Linked DNA regions of Lepisosteus oculatus. The protein of the gene in region 2 purifies or fractionates together with the protein of the main gene of each other region. This does not show direct contact. Links are inferred from orthologs where the notes say so. Each region holds a gene or a part of one and is shown on either strand. Other genes may lie near its edges.

Region 1 (3,600 bases), on a different chromosome or scaffold from region 2:
TTTCCCTTGGCCATGCCGTGGTAATGGAGGTTTGCGCATAGCTTGATTGTGTTTGAACTACAAGGCTCAAGAGCTGCTTTGGTAAAAAATCAGCTTGCTGAAGAGACCCTTTGACTCAGGAGCACTTCTCTTGCGTGTCTGTATTGCACACTGTCCCCGTGCTGCACCATGCATTCAAAACCCAGCTAGACTGCTGTGTGCTTGAATCGGGCATTTCTAACCCCCTGCCGCTTTCCGTCCTTCCCAGGTTTGATGGTTTCTGTAATGCGCCATGGGCTATGACGTCACCAGGTTCCAAGGGGAAGTGGACGAGGATCTCTTGTGTCCCATTTGCAGCGGTGTCTTAGAAGAGCCTGTGCAGGTACACCTGGCGATTTCGCGTCCTGTCACACACACTTCCTACTGTGCCCTGAATAAGCCCAGTCCTTTCAGGGGGGAGCTCATAGGATGGCATCCATGGGACAGACATTTATTTGATGTGTTGCTTACTTTGTTTTTTTTAGTAGTGTTTTGTCTGTGCTTAGATAGAAACTGTAAAATAAGTATGTTTGTGTGGTTAGAAGTTGACTGTTGGGACATGCTATCCCAAGCTTATGGTAAAGGCTTTGTTCAACTAGAATTCATTTTCTTTGGAGGAACAAGTAAAGGTTTATTTCATGCTGAAAGAAAGAGACAACATTTCGGCTGTGGAGCCTTCTTCAGGTGTGAAGTTCAGGTCATTTATTTTGGTCTTACTGGGTATTACTTAGTGTCATTCATGACTGAATTGATTTGTTAGATAACTGCCTCACCCTTATTTCTGCTTATTTATCTAGTGACGTAGTTATGTATAATGTTGTGTAAACTAAAGACTGTGGTGTTGAAGTAAAAATATCCAGAGCTTTGCTGTAAAGAGCATACTGGAATCTTGAAATGACTTCTTCACACAGAAATAATGTATTCATTTCAATGAAGTGTCATCATCTTCCCTGTTTAGTCTCAGCTTTATTTTCTGACTCGCCCTGTCCAGGGACCCTCATCCAGTTTCATCAACCAAGATCTGTGCCTGCTTGTCCTCCACTGAGACAGAGTGACAGAAAGAGGGTAGGGAGGAGGTTGAAACAGATGTTTGTGTTGTTCAGGGACATTTGTCTCTGAGCTGGAAGGCTAAAATCCTAGCAAAAAAGTATAATTGTAGTGTTTTGCAATGTGGGATCTTGAGATAACTGAGATCTTAGCTGGTTTCGTAAGACTGAACACCATGTGCAGCCAGGGTGGCCCGGCCTGTTTCTGTACTGCCGCAGACCTACAGATGTTTTTAGAGGAATTTGGCATCCCTTTCAACATCAATACATTCTACATTCATTATATTCAACGGTTGAGTCCCTGTAGCAAGGCCTTGGATGAAACTGAAGCCAAAAACTCTTTCTGTGTCTGGGTTTGGCATAATGGCCACTCATGTTGACGTTTACCTAGTTTTTTAACCCCTGATGAAAAGCCAAGTATATTGTTCCTGTAGAGCACAGCTGAGTGAGCATTAGGGCTGTTTGTGTTCCCTGACAGTTTCTCATCTGGGGGTATTTAATGGCGACCGATCTTTTACTCCACAGTCTAAAATAGCTTCTGTAATCGATTCTATTCTTGTTTTTCTGTGTCTATTGCCTTGGGGCTGTTTACATAAGAGACATTGCACAGACATGTCTTTTAAAAGCATTGCATGCTTTTAAAAGTTAGCATGAATCCCAAAAGACAATTTGACCACAGTTTCTAAAGTGTATTGAAAATCCAAGATGCATTTTTGAAGTATTACTGGTAATAATCTTCTGATGTAAAAACATTTAACTGTACTTTTAACTCCAGGTATGGAAGCTGATTATCGCAAGGGTTTGTGGAGCTTTTAAGGAGTGATGAGAGATGCAGAGGGGAGGGAGTGATGGGGGAGGAGAGAGATGTACTGATCTGCTGTGAGGGGACAAAGTGACAGAGCAAAGGGATGCAAAGATCCCTCCTTTACAATGTGCCTGTTTGCCTGTCTGCACTGCCTTTCTGAGCTGACAATATGAAGAAAGAGGAGGATAGGTAGTGTCCTAATCCTTGTCAGGTTAGGAGAAAGACTATGGACCAGTATTAGTCATGCAGAGTGCTGTTTATACGGAGCTTCAAATGTATTTCCTGAATGCCTTAATTCAGTCACTGCTGTCATATCCGAGGGCCTATGAGGTGAGTTTTTTTTCCCCCCACTGTTTTGCTTTTGAGCTTTCCAGCATAGTGACATGCAGCTACTGTATCCTTAGTGAAATGTTTTGTCTTGGGATACATGACAAGGAAAACCAGATAAGGCTAGTGCTTCTTCGTTCTAGAAGTCTGCTCTATGCATGCACTGCCCGTACCGCATTCATGTTGAAGTGCGGACCCTGGCTCGCTGCTGTTTTTCTCCCAGGCTGCAGACCTGTCTAGTCTGTTTGCTCTTGAGCATGTTGCAGAGGTTTGCGCAGCGAGCTGGCAGCTGTACAGCCAGGATAGGAATCCAATGCTTAGAAGAAACAAGTTTATGCATTTTGTGATCAGAATGTTTTTTTTCACCCACTTTAATCTTATTAGCATTGATCCTTCTTGATATAGCTGTTTCTTAAATTCTGTGATTTGATTGGTCTCTAATATGGGTTTATTAAAAAATAGAACATGTCTCAGCTGAAGTATGACTGGCTTGTATTCTGCTGGCGAACATTCTTAGACAAAAGCTCTGGCCTTGCTTAATTTAAAATTTCTGTACATTATTTGGAGTGGCCCATTACTGAACACTGGTGGTCAGTAGCTGTCAGCTTTACAGCTATTTCTGGAAAATTAAAGGCTTAGTCAATTTCAGTAAACTTTAATTACTCTACTTTTGACAGTCCTACTTGGCTAAACGTACCAATTGAGTCTTCTCAAACATTGACTGTCTTCCAAATTTTAGCTATTGCATTACCAAGGTGGGCAGCCTTGCCTCTGGTACTGTGTGGTTTCAGCTGCACTGAGTTTTGAAATGCTCTGTTGTATTTGCGCATGTCACTTATTCTTCAAGTGCTCCAGGAATGTGATTTTTATACTCTTTCAGAGTCCAATTGATCATATCTGTTCTGTATAGAGCTCTCAATTGGGGCAGGAAGTAAGGGATAATGCAGGTATTTTAGTCCTTAAAAATGCAGAGATTTGAAGCTTGTTAAGGAGCACCATGAATAGGTTTTTCACATACAGAATATTTACTGTTTTTTCTTTAAGGGCAATCATTAAATCAAATGTTGCTTATTTCTTTGGTTGAATTAGAGAAATCATTGTGAATGTGGCATACAGTTACAGTTTATAGAAGTGTTACTTTTCCTAATAAAGTAATTTCAGTGCTTGTAACAAAAAGCCATCAAAATGGAAAGACTCCTATCCCACAGTTTGATTTGTTTCTCAAAAGCTGATTAGCTGAAGTAATGAGTTAAATTCGACTAATAAACAGAAGAGACTGGAGATCCCAAGGAGCAGTACTGTGAAATTCTGCTCGTTATAAAACTGTGCCTAACTTTATCCATTTCATTTCGTATATCCTCTCCACAGGCGCCTCACTGTGAACATGCCTTCTGCAATGCCTGC
Region 2 (3,959 bases):
AGATTTACTTACTGCTGTAATTTTGTAGCAGAAGGTGGGTGTAGGATCTCTGACAGTACCATTCTGCATTATCTGATGTTCGTTCCAATACCCCATTCAGCTCCTGGAAGAAAATACAAATGAATGTGCCGAGACATACAAAAACATATGCAGAGCTTAACCTCAGATGCTTCCAAAAGGCTCAACTGGTAAAAGTACTGAATAGAAGCGCAAGTTAATCAGAAACCCTAGATTTGTGTCTGTGCTATGTTATTAAAATTAGTATGAGCAGGACACCCCAAGCCATACAGGACAACTGACTGAGTAAGACTGGTGCTCAGAAAGCTTATAGGCAACAAGATCAGCCTCAGAACAATTGTGAATTTTCACACGTGACTTAAAAACAAAAACTAGTCACTGAAAATATGAAAATAAAAGATTACAAACAGGAATAGGCCCATTTTGCCCATCTAGTCTATTTAGTAGTAAGCAGCTAACTGGATCCAACGATTCAATCTACTCATCCATTTCCCAAACAAGCCAGAGTATGGGCATCATCGACATGGCTGGGCAGCTTGTTCCACACTCCCACAGCTCTTTGGGTAAAGATTTGCCTCTTGTTCTTGAAACCAAAAGCACTTCCACATAGTTTCCATTTGTGTCCCCTGGTTCATATTATCGGGTACCCGCATAATCTTTTCAGTTCAAGACTGAAAAGGGTTAATTCCTTCAGTTTTTCAGCATAGGACATTTCTTAAGGTATGTACAGTATATTAGAAAATGTAAGAAAAATGTCAACAAAGTACACATTGATATTTACAGTAAAATGCAATATAATTTATTGTGGGGGTAATTAAGGCTTAACCACAACCTAGGTACAACGCTATATTTTAAAACTCATCTAACATAAGAGGGGAAAAAGTTTCTGAATTGGTACAGTTGCAAGTATTCAGTAACTCAAGCAAAACAGAAAAACATCAGCGCAACAGACTGGAGACCCAGCGAAGAACAGGTGCAAACAGATTTCACATCTAACGTCCAAGTTTGTGGATGTGAAAAAAAATCAGCTGACCTTATCATGCCATTTACATCTCATAACTTTTTTTTTTACAAGAAATCAGGGATGTATACACAACCTATTAATAAACTAATAACAGGAAAGAGGGCTGACTTTGTTTGGAGAAATGTGCACTTATTTAGATGTGTATAGTGCAGATGTATCAACAGAATTTGATGAATAATACTTCCTTTATGGCTGTATATGTATGATAAGTTACTGATAAGTTACCCCAGCGCCCTGGCCAAAGTTCCTATTGGCCCTTACCAATCATGGCTTCCTAATAATCCCCATCTATGAATTGACTACATTACTCTGCTCTCCTCCCCACTGATAGCTGATGTGTGGTGAGTGTTCTGGCGCACTATGGCTGCTGTCGCATCATCCAGGTGGATGCTGCACATTGGTGGTGGTGGAGGGGAGTCCCCATTACTATTACATGCAAACTATGAACAGAACAAAAAGAAATAAAACGCATTGCTAAAGTCTATCATTTCTATCGTCAGGAGGCTCTTTTCCCATTATCTGTGACCCTGAACGTGTAGAACAAAAATAAACTCTGTAGTTAACGAATTTCTGACACCTTTTTTTAATTATCTGAAGGTTAATGCATGTTGGAAGAAGATGATTAAATCACCATTATTAGCTACAAGGATGAGTGCGAAACCTGAAAGAGCTATCACTGACCTACATGTGGTGAACAATGTGTTTCATACAGAAAAAGGCAAATGTCTGAGAGTATTTAGAAAATACAGGACCAAGGTATGGTAGTAGCATATGATTTAACGAGTTGTCAAAGTGCCAATGCACATTATTTATAGACATTCTAGCACACAAAAATGGTTGGTTTAAAAAAGTTCTCATTCCAATATCCAGCAAAATGCTCAAACCCATCACAGATCCAAATTAAATTAATGGAACCTTCAGTTCAAATTTATGGGTCTTTCCCGATACAAACTGAAGGAGAGGGCAATGATTTTAAATTCCACTTGGAAATCATCACGAAAGGCTCATAACGTTTTCCCTTTGGTATCTTAACTCTCCTACTGTAACTTTTTTTTTATCCACACATTTATATATACACATGTATGTAGAATACAATATTAAAATATTTCCAATGCCAATGTAAAGTACATAGCCCACAGAGGTTTTCAGATTAAATTGACTCCAATGTGCCCAATAAGCACTATTTATTCAGACCGGTTGTACTGGCTGGGGGACAAGGAGATATCAAGTGACTGGACGGTTTGAGGAGCACGCTTAAATACTACATTGACATCTTGAACTGAACTGAATCTAGCAAGATAGGATGATCTGGAATGTCATGTAACGAATCCAAAGGAATCAATACGACAATTTAAAACGGATGTAGGTTTACACGTTTTCTGGGACATTGAGTAATGTTACAAAGAAAAAAAAGTTTAGCTATATGCGGAAAAGTGAAAACATTACGGAGAAAATCGTTGGGCAGACAACTGTTTAGAAGTACCATTTTGACACAGAAAGGCCCAAATCTATTACTAAATGGATAGTAAATTGGCTACGCTTATTCCGACTGTATAAAATAATACCGTAAAGAATCGAATTGAGTACCTAAGAGAAAGACCACGGAAGGAAACAGGCACAGCAACCCAGGGACGCTATTTACCTCTAGAGCTTTCTGAGGATCCTCGTCAATGAGGCTGTCAGGGAAGCTCCTGCAACACAGAAACACCAGTTAACGAGAAAATCGGCTACTCTCAACCTACTCGTTACTCGGCTAATTTAACTGAATGTTGTAGTGAAATATGTACACTGCACTTGCCTTTCGTCTGCCATGAAGTCCTGCCCGAAGTGACGTCCAGAACGTTCTGGATGGGGCTGCTGGGCTGCTCAGATGGAAAAAGACGTGAAAACAACCATAGATATCCACCCTGCGATCTGTGTGACGTCACACAGAGCGACGCAAGAAATCGCTTTTCCTCAAAAACTATAGGTATCCCATAATGCAATAGTATGGCCAAACTATAACGAACTGCAACTAGTTCGTTGCTGCCCAGAAAGGTCAGCAGGTGGGCATGTGCCTTTTTTTACAACGTAAACAGTTAACATGAATATTTGTCTTTTAATTAAACTAGTAACTAGGACAGTAAAGCTCTAGATGTGCTACTGTTTCTAAGAGACAAAAGTTTCAAAATTCTGTGTGGGCTAGTGGTATTGTGACTGACAAAACAGAATAATCGATAACGCGAATACGAATGATAATGGCATACGTACACATTATATAACAGTCATGCTCAACTAGGGTATTACATGCATGGTCACACTTAATATGTTCAGAATGTTATGAAACAATAGTATTATTGGACGTTAAGTAAATGAGATTGAATTTGCTAAACACGAGTAAAGTTCAAAAACAATCCATAAAACTATTAAGATGCCAATCGGTTTAAAATAATGTTGAAAAAAACGAGTGCTTCCGTACGTTGATTTTGTACCCTGTTTTCCGGATAGGGTCTGAGTTGAGGCAACTCTTAGCGGGAATATGCGGGTTTCTCGTTACTGGAAACTGTAAATTAAAGAATCTGTAACAGTAAACAGCTAAATAGAATTGTTCTTTATGTTGACACCTGCTTCGTATTGCTAAGAGTGTAATGAGGAATACGGCTGTAGAGCCAGCAAAACGTAATAGAGTTTGCTGGACCCAAAAACGAAACTAATAATTATCGTATAACTAACGTGTTGGGCAAAAATATATTTATCCATCCATTTTCTGACCGTTTTATGCAAGACGGGGTCGCGGGGGTAACCGGAGCCTATCACTGCAAGCTAAACGAGATCTATCACTTTGAGATTTAATTACAGAGTACAGATTATTCAATAATGTAGTTACCCCCTGTGCTTTGTCAGTTTACTTGCCCCCCAAAACTACAGCCGTATACTC

The links.
Region 1: the proteins of sugt1 (region 2) and rnf41 purify together in Homo sapiens (affinity purification with mass spectrometry; 3 studies listed by BioGRID and IntAct, with this or other methods). This does not show direct contact. The link is inferred for Lepisosteus oculatus from reciprocal best matches to the Homo sapiens genes SUGT1 and RNF41.

The regions. Positions count from the first base shown.
Region 1 is NC_090696.1:15,789,815-15,793,414, reverse strand, and holds the start of rnf41 (E3 ubiquitin-protein ligase NRDP1), read left to right. Parts: upstream 1-860; 5' UTR 861-912; coding exon 913-1,083; intron 1,084-3,564; coding exon 3,565-3,600. UniProt on the Homo sapiens protein: Acts as E3 ubiquitin-protein ligase and regulates the degradation of target proteins. Polyubiquitinates MYD88. Negatively regulates MYD88-dependent production of pro-inflammatory cytokines.
Region 2 is NC_090710.1:16,037,985-16,041,943, forward strand, and holds the start of sugt1 (protein SGT1 homolog), read right to left. Parts: upstream 2,969-3,959; 5' UTR 2,855-2,968; coding exon 2,841-2,854; intron 2,734-2,840; coding exon 2,685-2,733; intron 104-2,684; coding exon 13-103; intron 1-12. UniProt on the Homo sapiens protein: May play a role in ubiquitination and subsequent proteasomal degradation of target proteins.